Linked DNA regions of Drosophila melanogaster. Changing the gene in region 1 together with any one later gene gives a genetic interaction. Each region holds a gene or a part of one and is shown in the gene's direction. Other genes may lie near its edges.

Evidence for each region. A genetic interaction does not mean that the proteins touch.
Region 2: of pcs (region 1) and Btk, changing one suppresses a phenotype caused by changing the other (phenotypic suppression), as found in Drosophila melanogaster (4 studies listed by BioGRID).

What each region holds. Positions count from the first base shown.
Region 1 is NT_033778.4:14,979,335-14,984,285, forward strand, and holds the start of pcs (parcas), read left to right. Parts: upstream 1-1,928; 5' UTR 1,929-2,447; coding exon 2,448-2,489; intron 2,490-4,951. Other genes in the region: ckn (caskin), read left to right, coding at 1-351.
Region 2 is NT_033779.5:8,297,715-8,302,696, reverse strand, and holds the start of Btk (bruton tyrosine kinase), read left to right. Parts: upstream 1-1,950; 5' UTR 1,951-2,191; intron 2,192-4,356; 5' UTR 4,357-4,374; coding exon 4,375-4,626; intron 4,627-4,982. Other genes in the region: wol (wollknaeuel), read left to right, coding at 1-173, 365-761, 818-1,160. UniProt on the Drosophila melanogaster protein: Required for proper ring canal development. Also required for the development of male genitalia and for adult survival.

The sequences.
Region 1 (4,951 bases):
AACACCATCGCGAATATAGCGCACTCGTTCCATTCGTTGAAATCTTCCAGTTCGCTGCACGATGCCACATTGGCGCGGAGTGAAAGCATGGGCAGCACAGCCAGCGGTGGAAGTGCCTTGCACCTGCGTTCACCCACATTGGATATGTCAAATGCCGGTGGATCAACGGCGGAGCCTGCAAGTTCGCCAGAAGCAGCCGTACCAACTGTGGCCATAAACAACGGCGTTCCGCCCAAAGTTTCGGTGAACGTTCTGAACGACATTGGCAATATGCTGGCCAATCTCACGGACGAGCTGGACGCCATGCTGGAGGAGGAGAAGCGAGTGGGCCTAAACATAGACAGTGAATAAATCTCCAATCAAACAACAAATCGTAGTGTAGCTGAATTTAGAAGTTGTGGTGTATCTTGTAATGTTTTATGTACTTCAACTTAGTTAAGTTCAATTTGTTTTTGTATTTCTTATTCCAATTGCGTGTGGAGAAGCATTTATATTGGATCGTATTCTGTATCATTTCGATATGCACACTGTGTAGTAAAAAGCAACTACAACTGAAAAGCTTTGGACAAACCATGTATACTTTTGTACTTTTCCTAAACTCTCCTCCCATTCCCGAAACTATGAGTGTTAACAATACAAAATGAAAATAACCAAGTAAAAGAATGGTAAATGAAGCGCAACATGCATATATGCAGAACTTGCATAGTTATTATATAGCATAAAATATATATAATTCGATATATAAATAAATATTTAAACGAAATCATTTATATGGACAAGTATTTAGTGGTTTGATACTATACGACAGAGGAGGAATCAACAAATAAACCACACGGCACACTCTTAAACAAACACAATGAAAGTCAGGCAAGAACTACTATTTAAAGATCCCATTCAGACAATTTCAAATTGTATTATTCTAGAATTTTGTACCTTAGTTCTTTGTTCATTTTTTTCAAATCACGCTGCACAGAAATGTTTCTTTTTGTTATGATTACAACTAAAATCAAACTATATGAAATGAATGTATAATTAAGTGTTATTCCATACAAAGTAAAAAGATGCATTATATAAAATATAAATCTTATATTAGCGTTAAATTAAGAAATCAAAAATAAAAGAAGGAAACGAATCCATCTTTATAAATTATGTTTAATCGGGCATTGATGCTGAATAACGTATGAAATTCCGTGGTATACAACTGAATTGCCTTCTTCTTTATAATTTACATAAATAAAAATCTTTTAGTGAAAATTTTGTTTTTTGAGAGTATTTTCGGTTTTCTGTTAATTGCGCTCAGTTAAAAATATGTTTGGTGCGCATATCATTAGAGGAAATTGGAGTATTCGATTTATAAACGCATATAAGGAAAAGTAAACAAATTAAATACGAAAAAATCACAAACATGTAAAGCACATAAAGGGCAAAACAAAAATGATGAAAACAAATAACAAATAAAGTAAACTTTCATAGTAAAATGTTTCTGGTTTTAATGCATATTTTGTTACTTAGTCAGACCTATTTATTTATATTTCATTAATACGTATTTAGCAACTTTAACAAAAATCCTTTTTGAAACAAAATTTTTTTAATTATTCATAACGTTACGAAGTGAATCAACTACGTAACGTGATGTGATGGTTATGTAGATGAGGCATATGACGTAATGGTAAGAGAAAATACCAAGCCCGCCAAGAGTAATTTTGAAGACTAATATGTTAACTTAGCATTTTTTTAAATATAAATTGTTACATTATCAAACTGGTGCAATGAAAATCAAACATTTTTTTAATTGTTTATTTTTCTTGAAAATAGTTGGCAACAATGCCAGCGTTGTAATGAAATATACCAATACAATAAAAATACCAAATGTTTATTTCAGCAACTGCTGGTCAGCATTTCACTATCTGGTAACACCGCGCTGCGGTCACACCGAATTCAGCTTCTCATTTCGTCGCGTCTGGACGCGTCTTTAATTTTTAGGATAGTTTAGCCTTTATAAGCGAGTTAATTAAATATCTTAGATGCCCCGAGCGAAGGAGAAGGTGAAAAGCCGCGTGCCCTGTCCACTTGTACCGTTCGTCTTGTTCACACTTAATGTAATCGCCATGTGTCCCTTTCCCTTTTCGCTTTTAACTTCGTTGTGAAACATAAGACGCAAAATGAAATATTTGTTTTAATACTGCTGCTGTACCCGCATAGCAAATTGCCAGTTAAAATTGCCAACACCAATTTACATAATATTATAGAAAAAAACACAGAAAAAAAAAAGAAAAACAAAACACACAAGCAAATTGATAGTCGTGGGATGTGTCTGTGTAGCAACGAGATCAAATAGTGAAATGCAAAAGCGTTTTTCAATTGAAAAGCGGGCTGCAGAAAAGTGAAAATTAACGCGTTTAGCGATATATTTGCATTTGGAACGAATTCAGTGAAAACCAGTAAAAATGTCGAGTGCAGAAGACGGCGAGCTGGATCCCCAAATTCAGGTGATTTTCCTTCGGCAATTTGCCTGCTGTCCTTCCTATTTTCTCCCCCTCTCTCTCTCATTGTATGCCTCTCTCTTTCGTACCTGGCACTGAATGGAACGGTATTTTAATGACAATAACAATATTCAGGCTGCTTTGTTTTTGGTTTGCTTGCTAGTTCTCTCTATCACCTGCTCTTCTTTGCAGTGCAGTTTTTGTTGGTACAGTGCATACCCGATTCGGTGAATTGTGAAGACCGAGGGTATCCACTGTACCAAAGTGATAAATGTGCACCTAGATTTTCATACAAAAATATGTTTACAACTTACAAGCAAAAAACATAGAGCACTGTATTTTGGAAATAGGAAACAGGCGTTTTTGCATTGCATTTCGTTACTCATTTATTGCGTGAACCTTTTTTACGCTTTGTTGGTTTTCAAAAACGATACAACAGCAAAAACCAACACAGAAAATCAATTTACGAGCCATTTAAGCAAATTGCAAGTTTCCTTTTCCGACGAACTATTCAATATGCATTGTAAAACCGAAAACAATACAAAGTGCAGGAAAAAAGGGATCACAAAGGGTGTCAAATAATCCCACGCACTTCCAAGTAAACTGGTTTTTTTTTTCTTTTTACCCGCAACGGATTTGAACTCGGTACCTAAATGAGATTCAAGTGCAACTTGGTTATTGCTCTTTATCTTTCGCCCCTTCTTCTTTGCTCATCTCTTCGCATTTTTGGGAGAGAGGAGGAGGTATGCATACAAATTTAATAAATGGAAATACCAAAGCGCACACGCAAGCCAAAGCAGCAACAACAAAAAACAAACACGCCTTTGTTTCTATTTCGAGTATTTTATATATTATTGTGTAAGCCAGACAATTGAAAAGTGTCTTGAAGCGCAAGTCGCAGTTTTTGCATAAATCAAGATTCATATGCTGCTCATTCAACTGCGCAAAATAGTCGCACACTCGCCTAATAGCCTTAAATGGGCAGGAAATAATACGAGTCTGTAAAAATAAAAACTCAAATCGGATGAGTATAGTGAAAAACACAATGTTTCCAAACCGTGATCAATAGGAGAATATATTTATGTATATGAGTATATAAGTATAAAATGGTTATTCAAGTTAAAAACACCTTTATCCAGGGCGATCAATCGAATGGTACGTCCATTGTGAGAATACCCCCTACATAGACAAAGGAAAATCCCGGTGTAGACCTACAATAATTCCTATTTTTAAATGCAAAACTTAGTGGGAGAGACGCCACACGCGGCGCAAAGTCATTAACAACAATTTGATTTCGAACCCAGAAGACAGACGGCATGTGACTAGATTGGATTCGTCGATAATGTCCGAAAGTACATATGTATAGGTATGGGAAAATGTGTAGGAGATATTCACTTTGTCTATAAACAATCTTTAGTGCGGCTCTATAAACCAAATACAAAACTGTACCGAAACCGGTTAAGAATTCTACGAAAAACCGCATGCTACATTATACAAAAAAACGCGAAATATTTTGCTCCGCCTATTTTTGCCTTCTTTCTCAATGTTTTTATGCTCGACTTCCTCTTTCGACAAGTCGACTTTGTTGTTTTTTTGCCTTCGATTTGCCAATGATTTATCAATGAGCATTTGGCGTTCTTCTTTTTTTTTTATTTTGCGCGTGCAAAATTTCTTATCTAAAGAGATGTTTTCAAGTTGATGACGCCAAACAATAGACAAAGAATAGGCACCGCGTCGATGTCGCAAAGTCTATTTAACCAAAAACGTGTGTCCTAACAGATGTTTTTTGTAAACAATTCCACACGCGTCAGTTAACTTAAAAATATGGTCATTTGCGTGCTACGGATTTGTTTTTCGAGCCCCAAACTTTCTAATCTCATACCAATCCACATCAAAGCGTCACTTATCGATTAGATGATAATTGCTTTATTAAAAAAACAAAGGGGCCTTTTTTTACGATAGAAATTAGTGAGAAAAGCTTTGTAGCAATTTAAAAATAAATTAGTAGCCTTGCCCCATTTGATAATTAGATTAGCAAGGGAAACTTTATGTGCAGGTGAATTTGATAAAAAATTATAAATGACTAATGAAGTCGGCTATCTCTGGTCTCAGTTACGTAAGCAAGGTGAGAGTACGGGTATCGCGAATTAGAGAACTCGATCCAGGCGTCTATGAATCAGAAAATCGTGTCCGAAAAGTGAGTCAACGTCTACTCTATATATGTAAAAATATACCGTAAAGGTGTCTCCCAAAAGTGTATATGATATTCTTTATGCTTATCTTTTATTGCGAATACGAACTTGTGCTTATATCGCAAGATTATTTATGTGCATACAATACAAAGTTCATAACCAGTCCCGATAAAAACTGCATTTAATACTACATAGCACTCTTCATATTTGATGAATAAGTTTGCTCTCATTTATTTATTATTGAGTTTACTTTTTATTTTGTTTGCGCTTCCAAAA
Region 2 (4,982 bases), on another chromosome or scaffold:
TGCGGCTCTGGTGCTCTACAAGACGAAGCCCTATCCCAACATCAAGCGGCACAAGGATGAGGAGACCTTCCTGGACCCGCACACCATTAAAACAGTGACTTTTCCCAGTCTCGAGGACTCGCCAAGTTTGGAGCTCAGTGTCATCGTACCAGCTTACAATGAGGAGCAGCGCTGTATGTTGCTTATTTGTTTTTGTTTTGGTGAATCACAGTCAACATTTTATCTATGCCCATTTGTGATTGATTGTCTGGCACCCGAATTTATCTACAGAAACTTCATTACACTAACATGTTACTTTAAGTTACTTTCCCCAAAAGCTATTCGATTTTCTTGTTCTCATTTGTGTGTGTTTATACTCGTTTAGTGCCTTCTATGCTGGACGAGTGCTTGGCCTTTCTGGAACAGAAATCTGCTGGCACTCCCAATTTCACATACGAGGTCATCGTGGTCAGTGACGGCAGTCAGGATGCCACCGTATCCGTCGCCTTGGGTTACTCGAAAAAGCACGGAGCAGAAAAGGTACGCGTGCTGGAACTCATCGAAAATCGTGGGAAAGGAGGTGCCGTTCGCATGGGTATGCTAAGTGCACGGGGTCGTAATCTGCTCTTCGCTGATGCGGATGGAGCCACCAAGTTTCCCGACTACGATAAACTGGAGGTGGCCCTCAAGCAATTAGCTCCCGAATGGCGAGACGATGGCATTGCCATTGGATCGAGAGCACATCTGGAGAACGATGCGATTGCAACAAGGAGTTTCTTCAGGTAAGATAAAATCCTACATTTATTAGCTGACCAAATACTGATCTGCGTTGCCACAGAACAATTTTGATGCACGGCTTTCATTTCCTCGTCTGGCTGTTTGCCGTGCGCTCCATTCGCGATACCCAGTGTGGCTTCAAGCTGTTCACCCGAACGACGGCCAGGAAACTCTTCACCAGTCTGCATGTGGAGCGCTGGGCCTTTGATGTTGAGCTGCTGTACCTCGCTGAGAATTTGAAGCTACCAATGTCCGAGGTTGCCGTTCGATGGACGGAGATCGATGGTTCGAAACTGACACCATTTTGGTCGTGGCTGCAAATGGGCAGGGATTTGTTCATGATCTGGGTGCGATATTTGGTGGGCGCCTGGCGGATTGCCTCCATACAGAAGAAGGAAAAGTGATGTGGACTTGGAGGGCATCTCATTCCCAATATTAACTAGCATTTTGTGTCGAACTTACTCCGCTGTCGTGCATTACCAAAACTCTTTTAACTCTAAACTCTATTTTTGTAGGCCTGATAAAGTGTAACGAATTCTAGCTAGTTAAGTACTTAAGTACAGTATTTTTTCAAATAAAAAATAATTGATTTGAATAAAATTGCGCGGCAATGGTTCTAAATTGTTAGTAATCTAAAAAAAGTAACTATACCAAGTCGTCTTCCTTTAGTATATTGCGCTTTAAATATATAAAGTTTCGTCACATTGCTTGTTTAATTTTGGAACGAAGAAATAATTAAAATCACTAGTTATTTTTTTGAAATATTGAAATACGCGGGAAAATAAAATAAAAGGCAGTATGTGTGGTATTTTGTATTCTTCTGGTATTTTAAGAGTAGTTATTTTCATATCGGTGTATCTCCCCACTCGAAGTGCGGTCACACTGCAAAGAAGTTGCGGCGGCGCGTTTAGTTTCGTATTAAATCGTTACTATTTAATTACAGTTAATTAGTGTAAACAAACCAATCAAACATAGATACAGCTGCCACGTGAATAAACGGAAAAGATTCTAGTTAAAGCGTAGGATCGCGAGTGCAACTGCCATGGGCGCCGCTAAGTAAGGAATTCCAGGAATCCTACGTTGCGCCTGTTGCTCCTCTCCCGCTCTCCAAAATTGCGTGCAGGTGTGTGCGGGTGTCTGCTCGTCTGTGTGAGCGTCTCAGCTGTGCCTGCGTTATATATTGTTTATAAAGATTTTTTCGCAGTATGCAAATGCTGAACAAGCCGGTCGGTTGATATTTCGTATTTACTCTCGTCGCCGCGCAAACGAAAGTGTTTTGTTATTGTTGCGTTACCCGTTGCGTCTGCCCCCTCCAATTGGAGAATTGTGATTTGTTAGTGGTGTGCGCTGCTGGTGTTGTTGTTGTACTTGCTGTTATTGTTGTTGCTATGCGGTCGGGTCATTGCTTCAAATTGCTCAATCAACGGCACTTGTGGTAAGCTGGTGAACTGGCACAGTTATCAATTTTATTCCTCCTTTCCGTCCCCTTTTTATCGCTATCGAATTACATACATACTTCTTTTGTTCTTTGTCTTATCAGCATTTATTCAATTGCCCAGCAAGCTGCGCTTGAAACTATTGTATTCTGATAAGAAAGGCGAACTCTGTGCTCGACGCATTCTAATCAGACGCCCTTGCTTTTGCATTTTCTGAATGCATTTCATTTTAAGGCATCGTGCAACGCAAAAAAAAACAAATCAAAGTTAATATAAATAATTATGCTGTGCTGATTTTATTAATCAGCTTATGGCGACTTTAGCTTAAAGTCACAATAGAAACTAATTACACGAAATTTTTTGTTGTTGTAATAATAACAAATAGAAGTACTGCTAAAAAAATATCGTTTACATAGTTGCTTAACTTATTTTAAATTAAAAATCAATCTTTTTGGAATATAAAGTAACTCAAAAATTGATTTCAAATTAGACTGAAATTCTTGCTAAGGTCGCAGATTCTCCAGTCTTCCTCTTCCACTAGAAAAAGCGCGACAATAAACAAAAATTAAATGCAAAGAAGAATACAAACTAAGCGCGACCATTTGCGTGGCGAAATTCAAAGTCAAAAACGAGTTGCCAGGCCACGCCCGCTATATGTATATATACATATATACTATATGTATGTATATTGATGTGCTTATAGCCCAGGTCTTTGGGCCTCTCGCTCCACCAAAAAGATTTATGTACACATTGCGCCTTCTGCCTTTTTGCCATCCTTTTTTTCCTTTCTGTGCCTCGGTCCGTGTTTATTTTATTACTTATGGCCATGCGCGTTGCGCTGAAGATTCTGATTCTCTCGCCCTCTCTTTTTACGCTCCGTTCGCCCATGCCCCCGCACTCCGCTCCTGTTTTTGTAGCGGCTCTGCTTGATTAAAGCGCGTGGGGGGTGGGGGGCGTCAGGAGACGGTGAGGAGGAAGAGTTGATCAGGAGATCCAGCCAATTGTTGTTGTCGCACGAGCATTTGTCGCCTTAGCTTTGTTTCCCTTTTTTGCAGACGCGTCCGTTCATGTTCCTTGATGATCAGAAGCGGATTTGTGAATCAGATAAAGAAAATCATATCGTCAGAGTAAAGAAAACTAAAACTTTTTTTTATTAAACAAACTCTTTTTAAAATCATCCTTAGTAAGATGTTTAAATAAATCAATAACTCAACCATTCCCGAATTCAGAGCACTTCGCTCCTGGAGTCTTCCTGCGTCTTGTTAGCTTTTGTTGAAGTGTGATAATGCCAGAGATCGTGTGGTGGCTGCTCCTCCGCTTGGAGCCACCTTTTCAACGGCCCGTTTGTTTGCGTACACGCTTCTCGTTTTGCGAAATGGAAGTTGTGGGGACAAGGTGGCAAGGAAATGGGGAATATGCCGCTTTGGGGGCTAATCCTTTAATCCGCTGTGCGCGACTTCAAGGTCAGCAAGTGATCTTTACTAGTGTATACCAACCTATATGTATCTCCTGTCTGCTCGGGGGCTAATTAATTGTTCGTTTAATCGTTCGATTTGCTGACCGACTCGTCTGTCCACTGGATTTTCCCTTCCTTGGCTCCACACTTCTCCATTAATAGGCAGTATACAGTATCTGTAAATGAATAACTTTATTTTCATCCACTTTTCGCCATCCCATACTGATTGATGCCAAGCGGAACGCCCACGGCAATTAGTCAACCAGGTAACTCCCAGTGCTCCAATGTTTTGGTGGCCCCATGTTCCACGGTCAATGCCTCGAGGGGCGCTGCAAAAAAGATTCGCACGCCCACGCCCACGCCCCCCAAAATAGATTTATGGCCTTGCCTCTGCAGAGTGTGTTGTAACCAATCTTTTTGGGCGAGCGCTTCTAATTTTAACCCTCTGTTTGCCAATGCGACATCCATTCTGACGTCCCACTAAATGGCCATTAAACTATTTAAAAATCTTTATTTTGCCAATGGGATAAATAAATGTATGATTAAATATTGTCTGTTCATACGTATGCATGGCTATAATCAAAGCACAGACAAAAACCCTTGGGTTAATACAAATATGTCTTATTTCGAAGGGTTAAAAACGTTTTGGCATGCGTGTAAATATTAACATTAACTTTTGGTTAGCTAATATGTTTCTTTGCTTTTCAGACACTTTTTCTTGTCAAGATGATGGGCACTAAGCATCGAAACTCGCATGTCAATGGCAGCATTAAGTCATCATCATCGCTGCGATCGAGCAGCAAATCCTTTCAAGCAAAAATGGATCTGATGTCCGAAAGGCTGTACGATGTCGTGAAAAGTGGATCGATGGTGAAAAGGGCTCAAAACAAGAAGCGTTTCACCCCCGTGAATTACAAACATCGATGGTTTGAGTTGACCAAGCGAACTTTCAGCTACTTCGATGTGGAAAATGTGGAGGTGAGTCATGCAAATTGCTGTACGCATTTCGGCCAACAGGTTTTATTTGGCCAAAACTAATTCAGCCAAAATAATGAATCGACATAATTTAAGCTAAATTAGCGAACACAAAATGAGAATGTAGATAACAGCGAAAAAAACAAAAATATTATGAGAAGCTGCTACGTATTTTTATTCGATTCTGATCGGTAGAATCAATAAATAGAGCTTATCTATTGGTAGATAATATGAAAATAATTCATGGATAATCTGCAAATGGTGTTATACATACTATAGCAATTATACACCATACTATAGCAATTAAGTAATTGCTAACTAATACTTCAAAAGATTCATATCTGTATGCTACATTGTAT